3 linked regions of the Saccharomyces cerevisiae S288C genome follow. The gene in region 1 interacts genetically with each later gene. Each region holds a gene or a part of one and is shown in the gene's direction. Other genes may lie near its edges.

Region 1 (4,771 bases):
CGGCCCACCCGATGACTAACGGGAAAGTGGACATGATTTGCCATTTGTACGGGTAATATTTACATATTATTTGATGTGCTTCTTTGGATTGTGTGCAATCACTTACTTCACAGTGTCTATGTAAGAGATGTGAGAGTGTAGCTCGGAAGGTGGAGACATCTCCTAGATCTTGTCTGGCTTCGTTGGGGTAGCCATGAGAAGTTTTCCATTCCCCCGGGTCATGCATGCTGCCCGAGTCAAATAGCGTTTAACTTTGACTCGTACGCCATAATAGGTTATGTTTTATCTTTGGTCAGGGACCCCAGTATTGAGAAAGTAACCTAGGGATGCTACGCCCCAGCTTTACTACGTGGATGATACAGTAAGCACATACATATTGACGGCATCTAATCGTTCTAAACGGAAAAATAGGCGCTGATTTGATCCACTTCGGTTAGGTAACCGCTGATGCCAACGATCTAGGGCCCTTCCATTTTAGGAAAAAGGGTATATACTCTGATGCCCTGTCTGGCCGAACATTCGTATATGTGGATGTATCGTGATCCGTTCGTATTCAATAAAAGTGTAACGATCTCATCTCAAGTCAAAAGTGAGAAGGGAATAACTAAAAAAGAAAAACTGATATTTTGACGTGACGTGGTTTATTAGCAAGTATGTTTCAACCATTCTCAGCGTAAACCCTATCACAATAACGTCTCTATGAAAAGTTTAACATTTTGTCTATCTCGGTTCAATCAGTTGAATAGCGAACCTTATAGCAAATAGCATTTTCAATAAAAATGTGACATACAGACTTCCACTTTTCTTGCTTTTCTCATGCTCTGTGTGATGCTACTGTTACCGCGGCACCACATTTTGGCATACGTCGGGACATTGGCGGCTGAATAGATTATACCCGTCGCCCTTTTTTCATCTCTCCTTTTCTTTTTGTCGTAAGCAAATTACAGAATTGAATATTTGAATAACCCTAAAAAAAATGCCACTCCCCTAAAAACAAACCAGATTAAGTTGCAAGAAATAGACTGATTGGAACATACGGGTCCTATTCAGTGCTCAATAAAAATTAAAATAATGTGATCAAACAACCCGAGACTATTCTTGAATTAGCATTAGCCACTATAAATTTTAACATTTTTCAGAGTCTTTCGTGCGGAGACCGTAAATATTAGCATTGACCTTGTCAATGAAGTAATTGTCTTTGATTTTAACCGTGTTAAAGATTTCGCAAAAGAGAAAGCTTGCTGGCTTGGAGCAGTAACTTTTTTTGATTTTTTTTTACAAGCACACATGCTTTTGCCTTTAGAATATTACGGCTCCTCATGTGGATAGTAAAAACTTGACCGTTGCATCTGTTCTCCTTCGAACAAAGAATAAATCGTCTGAAAAATCACATAGAAAAATAATAGAAAAATAAAAAACATAGTAACATATTTTAAAAGAGACCTTTTATTGAAGAAAATTTGGCGATAAAAATGATTATAACATTGAAATGACGAAGAAAAGGACAGTGCCCGAATTCTCGATTCCAATAAAAGGCGAAAAATTACAATCGCCAGCATGTTTGGTACGGGGCGACTCGTGGCATTTTAAAGTACGCTGGCATGTTTAAAGGTATTAGTGTTCTTGGCGTGGAAAGTGCAGGTGTCTCACTTTTTAGAACGAACAAATTCAAACAATATACAACAATCCGCCGAAAACATTCCAGAAATTAAGATTGTTAAGCACTTTTGCTAAGAAAAAAAAAGGGCTCTCCCCTGTGAATTAACTCAAAGGTAGCGTGTTCTGCCTATGCAAGGTGACCGTTTTTGCAGATATTGTAGTGAGATGCTCTACAAAAGGGGTTTCCTAATCTAATCTTTTACCATATCAAAAATGCCCTAATATTATTATTAAAGAGCTATCAAAGCCTGATTCCTTAGGTATATGACTAGTTCCCGAATTAATGGCATTGATTCATTACTTATTTTATTAGGGGGATGATAAAAATAATGATATCTTTTTCTGCAGCGTCATTTAAGTACTGATTGAGACTGACAGTTGTGATAGAGATATTAAGTAGTAGAAACGGTCCATGAATTGTTCTTTGTTAATATTCTTGCTGAGGGAGGCTTTTCTTTTGGGCTGCTATGCTTTCATTCTACTTAAGCAACGAGATAGGAAGCTTCAAAAGGTGAATGGTGAAATGCTGAAGAAGATTTCGTCATTCCAATCCTCGAGAGTGCGACGTAAGTAGTGACTCTAATGAATTTTCTATGCCTCATAAAGCTTGAGGTATATTTATCCATACGCAAATAATACACGATCTAGGATTATTGTAGTATGTTATTGTTTGACAATATCCTTGGACAAGTTCTAATCACTTATATTTCCCAAACATGATTCGTGTATTTTGGCGTTAGAAAACGACGGCAAGTAAGCTCCCAACATTTACTTGACGAGTTTTTTGTCACTATCATCACGCCCTAGAGCCAAGTTATATTTTTATCGTAAATTCTGTAAATTAACAGTCATTCTAAGCAGGTTGTTTTAATATTTACAGGTAACTTGGCTGACTTCTTTTAAATGTGGCTTCTATGACAAAAAAACTGAAAAAAATGACTAATTAGTAAATTCAGCCTCTTATCATAAAATCAGGGTCTATAGGACGGTACGTGAGAAAAAGATAAGCTTTGGAATATAAAGAGTTACATTTTCATTCTGCAAAAATTCAAATAAAGGAGTATTGAAAAAAAACTTAAAAAGTACAAATAATTAATATAGTTCGAGATATTTAGTTTTCATTGAGTTGGAAAAATGATTGTTCCCACTTATGGAGACGTTTTGGATGCCAGCAACAGAATTAAAGAATATGTAAATAAAACACCGGTTCTCACTTCACGAATGCTTAATGATCGACTTGGAGCACAAATATACTTTAAAGGTGAGAATTTCCAACGAGTGGGAGCGTTCAAGTTTCGTGGAGCAATGAATGCTGTTTCAAAATTAAGTGATGAAAAAAGAAGTAAGGGAGTAATTGCCTTCTCATCAGGAAACCATGCACAGGCTATTGCTCTTAGTGCAAAACTATTAAATGTACCTGCAACAATTGTTATGCCCGAGGATGCGCCCGCCCTTAAAGTTGCTGCTACAGCCGGTTACGGAGCACATATCATAAGGTATAACAGGTATACTGAAGATCGCGAGCAGATTGGGCGTCAACTAGCAGCCGAACATGGTTTTGCATTGATTCCGCCCTACGATCATCCTGATGTTATTGCAGGGCAAGGTACGTCGGCAAAAGAGCTATTAGAAGAGGTTGGACAACTTGATGCATTATTTGTTCCTTTGGGCGGTGGTGGGCTCCTTTCAGGATCTGCACTTGCCGCTAGAAGCCTTTCTCCAGGCTGCAAAATTTTTGGGGTTGAACCTGAAGCTGGTAACGATGGACAACAATCCTTCAGATCGGGTTCCATTGTTCATATCAATACGCCAAAAACTATCGCAGATGGCGCTCAAACACAACACCTCGGTGAGTACACATTTGCCATTATTCGCGAAAATGTCGATGATATTTTAACGGTTAGCGACCAAGAGCTAGTAAAATGCATGCACTTTCTTGCGGAACGCATGAAGGTGGTTGTTGAGCCCACAGCTTGTTTGGGATTTGCAGGTGCACTTCTAAAAAAGGAAGAGCTAGTTGGGAAGAAAGTAGGCATAATACTAAGTGGAGGTAATGTAGACATGAAGAGATATGCTACTTTAATCTCTGGGAAGGAAGATGGCCCAACGATTTAGTGTATACTTTTGAATTTTGAGTTCAGTTTTATAGTGAAGAATTGGAAAGCTTTAGTTGTCTACTTTCACACGGCATATATCATTTGACTTAACATTAATAACATGGTTGAGATTTTGAAGTGAGTTCAGCAAAAAAAGCCTCTAGCTGATTTATACTCTGATAACTCTACATATTTTTCTACTAGTATTATATTTCACTGAACTGACACCCTTATGTGGGAAAATTTTTTGGCAGAATGATAGTGTGTGAGAGGGAAGAATACTGCTTATGTCAAACTAATAATATAACTTCTGACTGTGACTATGAGCATTACTGGTATATTAGTTTCTTTTGCATATTTTGAACTAAAACAGAAGAGCGTTCCTAGGCTTACACCCAGTAAAGACATAGCTTCTAAGTTGAAAAAACATATCTCTACTTCAATTAAAGGTAACTGTCATAATGTCCTATTTTATACGCAGAAAAAATTCTCTTTTCCACACACAATATCGTCTGCTCTTATTACTAATCAATCGAGATCTTGCATGAAGATATTTATGGTCCACAGGAAAGGATAAGCCTCTATTTTAAGGAATTATTACCTAACCAAGACCAAAACTGTAGAAATCCTCCTAAATTTAGTTCTTCACTTTTTTTTGATAATCATAATATGTGTCAAGATATTCGCAGCAGCCACATATATGAATACCAAGTTATTCAACAATTGAGTTTTAAAGAGCAACCCTGAAGGATAAATTAGTGTTTTACATTATATCCGTAGGAAAAAAATATGGCGATATACGTGACAGATCCCACAAACAATAAAGCATCAAGCAAGGTCACCAGGTCAGTTCTACCGCAGAAATTAACGATGTATTACTTAGTGCTCTTTTGTAGCAATAAATTCGCGTGAAATACTCAACACATGTATTGATATAACTTTCAACATGTTCCCTTGATTAACAGTAGACGGGAAAAGAGTTACATGGTTATGTTCAAAATGGATAGTTATGACCA
Region 2 (5,066 bases), on another chromosome or scaffold:
TCAATGTTATGAAGAATTCCAAGTTAATCGACGAAAAGCGTTTGGAAAGGAATTATATAAACGTAAACATGAAAAATATTCATCGAATACTCCACATCGATCGTATTACAGTGTTTTAGTAAATGTTTGTATTTGAATCAAAGTTTCAGCATTTGTTCTACACTGATAAAATCATGGTTCTAGTATAGTGAAACATACGCCCAAGTTATCCTAGTACAAGACCGCCATATTGTGCTCATAATCGGGAACAATGAAAATAACACCCTAACAATTGCTGAAACTTGTCGTACGCGATCCCTAATTACATTATCAAGCATTCAGCATTGGTCAATACCTCAATACCTCGACAAGAAAAAAGAAATAGACACGTGTATGTCAAGGCATTAAGAAGGGTATCAGGCCTAGTGCTCGCCTCTTGCCTTCCCAATTTGTTGAACATCTTTGACATATAATTTGATTTTGAAATAGTTATTGGACTTCCATTTTAAATAAAGGCTCTATCATTAACTATACAGAATATACTAGTAACGTGAATACTAGTCGATAGACGATAAATTAATACTTTTTCCAATAAAATCTAAACGCATGCAAGTACATAAATAGGCGAAGGTATCTGACCGTAATAATCTTCACGCCATCTATATAAATAAATGAAAAATTCGGCTTTTAACTTATATATTAACAATAAGAAAGACAATGTTGCGCTGTGCTTACAGGAAGAATATTATAATTTTGACGAAAAGACCTTAATGAAATGCTTGAGGCTAATTAAAATATCAAAATTAGAACACGTAGCACTTTTCTTAAGTTCTGTTCCCAAAATTTCAAGGTCAAATGTGTTAACCTTTGGATGCACTTTCATAAAACTCCAAATATCCATCGCACTTAATAGGACGTCCCCTCCAAAAGCATCCACTGTATAATACTGTCTTGGATGGAAACCCTGCCTAATCACCATGCTCGCTGCCGCTGTTTCTATTGCATTAGTGTTTTCAGTAATGAAATTATTTGGCTCCTTTATTTCAGTCCCACTAAACTCCAAAAAGGTACTATCAAGTTCCCCATTAAAGTCACCAAACGTATGAATCTCACTCATTGCATCATTTAGAAAAGAATAGCCTGGTATGTCATTTGAGAGATTCGTACAGCCTATGGGATAGAAGGACCGATCAAAGGAATTCAACGGTGACGGCACTGTACAATTCTTTCCAACACACACTGAGAGCAGTTGCTTGAAAAATACGTAGCATTGTTGTATTTCAAGGGAATTATATGTGGAGGAAAGAACCACACTACCATCGAGAGTGTTACATGTGGGCGGTTTTTCTTCACAACAGGCCTTACTAATGTTCCGTTCATCAGAAGGCATGTTCCTCTCAGTCAAAAGACTCCTCAACATAAAATGGAGAAGTTCATTTTCCTTCTTTAATATGTGAATTTGATCATTTGTTACCGTTAGCTGAGCTTCTTTCTTCTCTAGTTCTTCTAATCTTTCCAACTTTCGTTTTCTAAATGCGTTTTGGGATGCTCTAAGTTGCGCAGCTCTCTTATTTTTAGGTGGAGTAAGTGAAGGCTTCCTGCCGCCTTTTCTTCCACGCGGTTTTGCCATTATCTTGGTCACTTATCTTCCGTTTTGACATGTTTTTTCAACGGCCGCTCCTTAAAGACCATCCGCATGCTAGAATTATATACTAATATGATTTTGTAAAGATAGGAATATTATAATTATAATTATATTTAATTTAATAAGAAAAGAAACGAAAAAAAAAAAAAAAATGGAATTAAAAAGTTTTGCCGTACATAAAATATTGAAAAGACTTTTACATTAATGCTGGAACAATAAAGCTTGAGGAGCTCAACCACTAACAATCAATTTAAGGTTACTCTCTCTACAATGGGTCTCCCAAGCGTAAAAACCTCCAACGAGGATGCAACTCTCAAACTTACTTGTAATATCTTCTTCTTGTAAGTAGGTTTCGAATTTAGCAGCTACTTTTGGTCCCCTATTCTTGGACCCAGTACAATGAAATATCACTTTGACGAATTGAGAACTTGAGAAAGTATCGGATAAACCTTTAATTAATTGATTCAGTTGCTTCTCTGTAATCTGTGCTGTTACTGGAACATGCCAAGCGTTTGTAATATGATCACGTGCAAAATCTTCTCTTCGAAGATCAACAACTTGAAAATCCTTCCTCTGATTTTCAATTAGGCCCTTGAGTTGCCTAGACGTTATGAAACTTACCATTACGCTTGCTGGATTGTCAAGTTTTCCTCAATATTAGTTTGTTATACATTAGTTTTTATACCGACTTTTCAAAAGTGTTGATTTAAAATCAAATTTTGAATGCTCTTAATTATCTTTTTGTTTGATTAATAATCAACTTTAGCGGCAACGCTCCTTACATAATTATAATGTAAACGGAAAAGAATATAAATGAATGCTCTCGTTGTAATTCAAGAGAACCCAACCAACAAATCATCAGGTTAGTAGAATAATGTCAGAAGATCAAAAAAGTGAAAATTCGGTACCTTCTAAGGTTAATATGGTGAATCGCACCGATATACTGACTACGATCAAGTCATTGTCATGGCTTGACTTGATGTTGCCATTTACTATAATTCTCTCCATAATCATTGCAGTAATAATTTCTGTCTATGTGCCTTCTTCCCGTCACACTTTTGACGCTGAAGGTCATCCCAATCTAATGGGAGTGTCCATTCCTTTGACTGTTGGTATGATTGTAATGATGATTCCCCCGATCTGCAAAGTTTCCTGGGAGTCTATTCACAAGTACTTCTACAGGAGCTATATAAGGAAGCAACTAGCCCTCTCGTTATTTTTGAATTGGGTCATCGGTCCTTTGTTGATGACAGCATTGGCGTGGATGGCGCTATTCGATTATAAGGAATACCGTCAAGGCATTATTATGATCGGAGTAGCTAGATGCATTGCCATGGTGCTAATTTGGAATCAGATTGCTGGAGGAGACAATGATCTCTGCGTCGTGCTTGTTATTACAAACTCGCTTTTACAGATGGTATTATATGCACCATTGCAGATATTTTACTGTTATGTTATTTCTCATGACCACCTGAATACTTCAAATAGGGTATTATTCGAAGAGGTTGCAAAGTCTGTCGGAGTTTTTCTCGGCATACCACTGGGAATTGGCATTATCATACGTTTGGGAAGTCTTACCATAGCTGGTAAAAGTAATTATGAAAAATACATTTTGAGATTTATTTCTCCATGGGCAATGATCGGATTTCATTACACTTTATTTGTTATTTTTATTAGTAGAGGTTATCAATTTATCCACGAAATTGGTTCTGCAATATTGTGCTTTGTCCCATTGGTGCTTTACTTCTTTATTGCATGGTTTTTGACCTTCGCATTAATGAGGTACTTATCAATATCTAGGAGTGATACACAAAGAGAATGTAGCTGTGACCAAGAACTACTTTTAAAGAGGGTCTGGGGAAGAAAGTCTTGTGAAGCTAGCTTTTCTATTACGATGACGCAATGTTTCACTATGGCTTCAAATAATTTTGAACTATCCCTGGCAATTGCTATTTCCTTATATGGTAACAATAGCAAGCAAGCAATAGCTGCAACATTTGGGCCGTTGCTAGAAGTTCCAATTTTATTGATTTTGGCAATAGTCGCGAGGATCCTTAAACCATATTATATATGGAACAATAGAAATTAATTGTTGACTCACCAAAAAATTACTTGGGCACCAATGAATAATACCACTTATAACTCTATATTAATCCAAGTTCACCCTAAAAACAGATAAAATTGACAATTTTTTTTGAAGGACAACTGATTGATCTTAGTGATGGTTAGGATGAAAAAATGGGTTTGTTCACGCCATCCCGCATCATTCAAAAACTCCGCACAGTTTTGGAGTTCAGTAAGAAGGGGACGTAATCTTACTATTGCATTTTTGAAAGTCTAATGAACTCAAGTGGCAAACTGTGTTACGTACATCACTTCTAAATACAATGTCTTTGAATTAGAAACTCGCTGAAAAATTATTATTGCGTATTGTATGTCATTTTTGAGATTTTCCTGCAAGATTAGTAATGCTTTAAACCCAAGTATTGTAAGCCCGATGGAATAGCACATGGTGATGGTACAACAATGGCTTCATAGATCATTCGCATAAAAATGGAATTCGTGCATCTAGTGTCTAATTAAAATTAACGTAACGAAATAGGACAAGATAAGCTTATGTCGTAGTACCCGCATAAGTACGTGTAGCTGCCATTTTATAATGCATGAAGTTGAAGTCATTAGGATGAAGAGGTGACATATAATGTTTCAAAATGGTGCCAGTATAAGTTTGGGATATCATGGAGCGGCATTCGTTTTAGTAAATGACTGTATTGTATAGTACTGTCTGTATGATTATCAGTTGAGTTGGTGAGATGAAGTAAAGATATTATAGCATCTGCGTTAATGTGTATTGCTATTATAGTATAGCATAGTGGTGTTATATAGTGGCACCGGGAATGAGTATAGGGAGTAAGAAGATCTTGTAGTTGCGTTTGAATAGCGACATGAGGACACGTCTTATGTCGCCATTATTAGGCTGAAATTGCAAGCATAAACTATTCGATATCAAAGATACCACAAGACCATGTATGCATAATTATAGAATACCAAGGTGGGGAGAGATTAAAAACGCACCATAGCAGCTGCGCGAGTATATTCTGCTATTAAATTGGAATTCACTGAAAGGTGATGAGAATGCAAATAGCTATGATACCTTATAGTGGTTAATTTGTATGAAAACGTTATAAAGCATGAAGTTGAGAGTATTGATATGATAATGGAGGTTCTGTGATCAATTTTAGAAAATTAAAATGTGGATGATCATGAATGTTATGGGTAAATGGCACAAGTAATAGACAATTTAATGAATAGGGTGTTATGTTTACGATATTTCAATTATGTTAATATTTAGTATGTTTATATCTTCTCATTAATGAATGGTTAATTTTTATGTTTAGGTGATTTTGGTGGTGATTTTGTGGTTATATTGACATAAGTGTGT
Region 3 (4,881 bases), on another chromosome or scaffold:
ATCTCTTATCTACACACCCCTCAATTGAATAGCGTCTACCAAAGCTCTTGAGAGACCATTTACGTCTTGGGGCTTGAAATCATCACTTAATTTATAGATCTAATAGGTAAAAACAAAATAAAAGGAAAACAAAGGTGAAGTTAGTACAATGTGTTTCTGGTGAGGCTGTTGAAGTTTTTACCTCGAATTTATTATTAAAACATACTTTTCTTATGAGCGCTTCGTCATAAAATCTCGATAAATTGTCATCATTAAACTCGATCTCTTGTCCTTTTACTATAGAAGTCATAATCGTCCTCAATTGCTCTTTGTCTACATCGTCAGTATTAGTATGGAACTTAAGGCATATTAACTGTGACGAATCGTCTTTGATTCCGAATTTGAGGAAAGCATCACTAATATTGGAAGTGGGTGAAAGACATAGTACGCACTCGGAATTCAAATTTCTTGTTCTCATCTTGTTATATTTCACTTCTATTAAGGTCTTGTAAATTGCAGAATACATCTGCTCCCCCGAACAGACTAACCGGGGGTCAATAAAGGCAAAGGATGTCGACAATTCACTCATTTTAGAGCGTATTTCTTTAGCATTTTTAACCTGTTCAAACAATGCTAGTGAAACCTTGATATCAGGAAATTGCGGTATGATGGATACTACCATGATGATTGTATAATGGGCAGCGACGACGTATATTTGGTTATATCGACAAATTTGTTGACCGATAAAAGATTGTTGATGTATATTTTGGTTTGCAATTGAAATTTTCGCGCAAAAGATTAAACATGAAATATTGAAATCAATGGTATTAATGATCAACGAATATTACAGATCATCAATTAAAGAAACAAGCATTGTCAGAATCTAAGCTGGTTATTTTTTGGGAAGGACAAATTATGGACGAAAACAAAATAATCGACCAGTTGTTCAGTAAGGAATACACACCGCAAGATGACTCCGAGCAAGCCAAAAATGGAGATGTGTCGTTATATGGGTTATTAGATGAAGTAGCGAACGGTAGGCGGTTGATGAACTGTTTGTTTCATTCACCTATGCAAATGGGGAATAAATTGAGTACCGACAAACTTGATGGGAAATGTCGGCAAATACAAAGAGATTGGATTGATGAGGAAAAAACCATAACTATGAATTCTGGCGCTTTACAGCTGGATGGGCCAGTTCTATTTTCCTGGAGTCATAATGTAGCACCTACTTCTCATCAAGAAACTATAAATACAACCTTCAAGCAGGGCTCTCCGAGCAGAGGAAGCAACAAGCCCAAAATTACTACTACCAGTCAGTTATTTGATAGAGCTTCTGCTGAGATTGATAAGTGTATAAAGCCCAATAGCAAAAGTTGGATGGTGGAAGAAAGATTTGAGAGAAATGAGGCACATACAGCTGATGGCAAGAAACCTTCTACGTGGGCTAATTCCGATTTCAAAGTGGACCCGCTACAGAAATTCGTTGTTAAGGAATTGCCCAAAGAAAAGAAGAAATCAGACGGTGATAAGACAAAGAAAAATAAGTCGAAAAGGAAGAGTTTTTTTGGATTTTGGGGCCATTCTGGTTCTAAATCAGGTTCAAAAAAGAAATCCGAAAAGCCTATAGAGGCCAAAAATGAAATTCAGGATGAGGTAAGCCAAAAATCTGGCCTATCACCTGACGATGATACAACTTTCAGTGATAAAAATACCATCCAATCAAAGCAAGAGAGTATGAGTGATCAACAAGCTGAACCCAAAGTACACGAGCCCGCAGTTACTAACACTGGATGCAGTGAACATGATGATGGTGATGGATTTGAACAGGTACCTGCACAATCTAGTTATCATCCATCCAGCGAGCCCAGCATTGCCAGCACTCCTTCATTAACTCTAGATTCATTCATCCCATTACAACCAAAGAAGAAAATATAATAGATGCTTGTAGGCTTCAACATCTATTAGAGTCATCGGCGACGAGACGCCAAAAAATAAAGCGCAAAATAATCACACCCATTTTTTTTGTCGAGAATGAGAAGGAGATGGCTTAGAACTGGAAATATAAGGGATAGTGGCATCACGAGAAGCTGTTGTTCTGTTTTTTTAAAGTGTCAATTGGCCTGATTATACTCATAACTGCATTTTCATCACTTCCACGATCACTTGAAGTTGTTACAGCGAGTGTTTATACCTTCAATTCTCGTGTCACATTTTGCTATGAATAGGACTGTCTTTTTGGCATTTGTATTTGGATGGTATTTCTGTTCAATAGCTCTCTCCATATACAATAGATGGATGTTCGATCCGAAGGACGGATTGGGTATTGGGTATCCCGTGTTGGTGACAACATTCCATCAGGCTACTTTATGGTTACTATCCGGCATATACATTAAGCTCAGGCATAAGCCAGTGAAAAACGTTTTAAGAAAGAATAATGGTTTTAACTGGAGTTTTTTTCTAAAATTTTTACTCCCTACGGCAGTCGCTTCTGCAGGTGATATCGGGCTCAGTAACGTTTCCTTCCAGTATGTTCCCTTGACAATTTATACAATTATCAAATCTTCGAGCATAGCTTTTGTCCTTTTATTCGGCTGTATCTTCAAGCTAGAAAAGTTTCATTGGAAGTTGGCACTTTCAGTAATAATTATGTTTGTTGGTGTAGCATTAATGGTTTTCAAACCAAGCGATTCCACCAGTACCAAAAACGACCAAGCCTTGGTCATTTTTGGCAGCTTTCTTGTCCTAGCAAGTAGCTGTCTTTCTGGGTTAAGGTGGGTTTATACGCAGTTGATGCTTAGGAACAACCCAATTCAAACTAACACCGCTGCAGCAGTAGAGGAATCTGATGGTGCCCTTTTCACGGAAAATGAAGATAATGTCGATAATGAACCTGTTGTTAACCTCGCCAATAACAAAATGCTGGAGAATTTTGGAGAATCCAAGCCTCACCCAATTCATACAATCCACCAGTTAGCTCCTATAATGGGCATTACTCTGTTGCTTACCTCGCTACTTGTGGAAAAACCATTTCCTGGTATATTCAGCTCTAGCATATTTAGGCTTGATACGAGCAATGGCGGTGTCGGCACGGAAACTACCGTCCTATCCATTGTGAGGGGTATTGTTTTGTTAATTTTACCTGGTTTTGCAGTCTTTTTGTTGACAATTTGTGAGTTTAGTATTTTGGAGCAAACGCCCGTGCTGACCGTATCTATTGTGGGTATAGTGAAGGAACTTTTGACGGTAATATTTGGTATAATTATTCTTTCTGAAAGATTAAGTGGTTTTTACAATTGGTTAGGAATGCTTATTATTATGGCAGATGTATGCTATTATAATTACTTCAGATATAAGCAAGATCTATTACAAAAATATCATTCAGTTTCGACACAAGATAATCGTAACGAGTTAAAGGGATTTCAAGACTTCGAACAGTTAGGAAGCAAGAAAATCGCACCATATTCTATTAGTGTCGACCTAACAAATCAAGAGTATGAGCTTGATATGATTGCTCAAAACGTTAGTCGTTCATCCCAGCAGGTCTGAGAGCGATATAGTAAGAGAGAGAAAGAATAAAGGCAAAAATTTAAAACATGTATACAGCATACTTAAAAGTCCTCTAACAGGACATAAGCAAAGCACATGGGAATAGACAATACATCCGCACATAATTAAAAATATTTTACTAGATAGATTTTATACGAAGGTTCTTCACACTTTTTCATATATACTTTATTGACAGTTAATAAAAGAACATTATCAAATTTATACCTTTGCGTTTTAGACACTAAATTATTGAATACAGGAAAGAAGAGGCACTTAGATAAATCTTTAGAAATTTACTTATTTCTTTCATTTAAATTGGCCAATGCTTTTGGATCCATTCAACTGCGGCCGTAAAAATATCGATGCGCTTGCATTGTGTTCAACCTCTGTCTCGCCGAATCTTTAGCTGAAGTAAGGAAGAATTGTTTGATAATTTTGGTTAGGTAAATAATTTCACGTATAATGAACCAGAAGTCCTCGAGAAAACTGGAAAGTTAACGAAACAGAATGAGCATCCTTACACAATTTTAACATTCATCTGATGATTGCTGATATTCCATTGTTGATAAAGGCTATAATATTAGGTATACAGAATATACTAGAAGTTCTCCTCGAGGATATAGGAATCCTCAAAATGGAATCTATATTTCTACATACTAATATTACGATTATTCCTCATTCCGTTTTATATGTTTATATTCATTGATCCTATTACATTATCAATCCTTGCGTTTCAGCTTCCACTAATTTAGATGACTATTTCTCATCATTTGCGTCATCTTCTAACACCGTATATGATAATATACTAGTAATGTAAATACTAGTTAGTAGATGATAGTTGATTTCTATTCCAACATACCACCCATAATGTAATAGATCTAATGAATCCATTTGTTAGTTAATAGTTTAAATGTTTTTATCGGAAGAGGTTTTGTCATCACATCAGCAATGTTCTTCTTGGTCTCGATGTAGTATACGTATAAATTATTACCTGATACTTCATCTCTAAGTCTCATTGCCTTTGTGCCAAAAAATCTGTTTCTAAATTTCTCTTCATTTGTAGACTTAATTATACTGATCGTTGATCTACTATCAGTAAGTAAGCCTTTAATAATTGGTTTCTTGTTAAGTTCTTGTATCAGGTAACTTAGATTATTTAATAATGGGACAGATTCACTTATCGCGTGTATTTCTGCTTCCGTAGTTGAAGTACATGTTAATGAAGCCTTGGTGGACTTTCCTCCAATTACCTTTCCATTAAGTAAATATATGTTGCCAATTTGTGATTTATAATACGGTTGGTTGCCATACGAAGCATCACTTATTGCGACTAGTTTATTATCTGGCTCGGTA

Evidence for each region. A genetic interaction does not mean that the proteins touch.
Region 2: mutations in SRY1 (region 1) and ARR3 together harm fitness less than expected from each alone (positive genetic interaction), as found in Saccharomyces cerevisiae (one large-scale study listed by BioGRID).
Region 3: mutations in SRY1 (region 1) and YMD8 together harm fitness more than expected from each alone (negative genetic interaction), as found in Saccharomyces cerevisiae (one large-scale study listed by BioGRID).

What each region holds. Positions count from the first base shown.
Region 1 is NC_001143.9:16,362-21,132, reverse strand, and holds SRY1 (threo-3-hydroxy-L-aspartate ammonia-lyase SRY1), read left to right. Parts: upstream 1-2,793; coding exon 2,794-3,774; downstream 3,775-4,771. UniProt on the Saccharomyces cerevisiae protein: Catalyzes the deamination of L-threo-3-hydroxyaspartate to oxaloacetate and ammonia. Shows a high specificity towards L-threo-3-hydroxyaspartate as other 3-hydroxyaminoacids, i.e.
Region 2 is NC_001148.4:937,424-942,489, forward strand, and holds ARR3 (Arr3p), read left to right. Parts: upstream 1-2,498; coding exon 2,499-3,713; downstream 3,714-5,066. Other genes in the region: ARR1 (Arr1p), read right to left, coding at 725-1,609; ARR2 (Arr2p), read right to left, coding at 1,856-2,248.
Region 3 is NC_001145.3:201,422-206,302, reverse strand, and holds YMD8 (Ymd8p), read left to right. Parts: upstream 1-2,199; coding exon 2,200-3,528; downstream 3,529-4,881. Other genes in the region: CGI121 (Cgi121p), read right to left, coding at 10-99, 206-661; LFT1 (Lft1p), read left to right, coding at 895-1,917.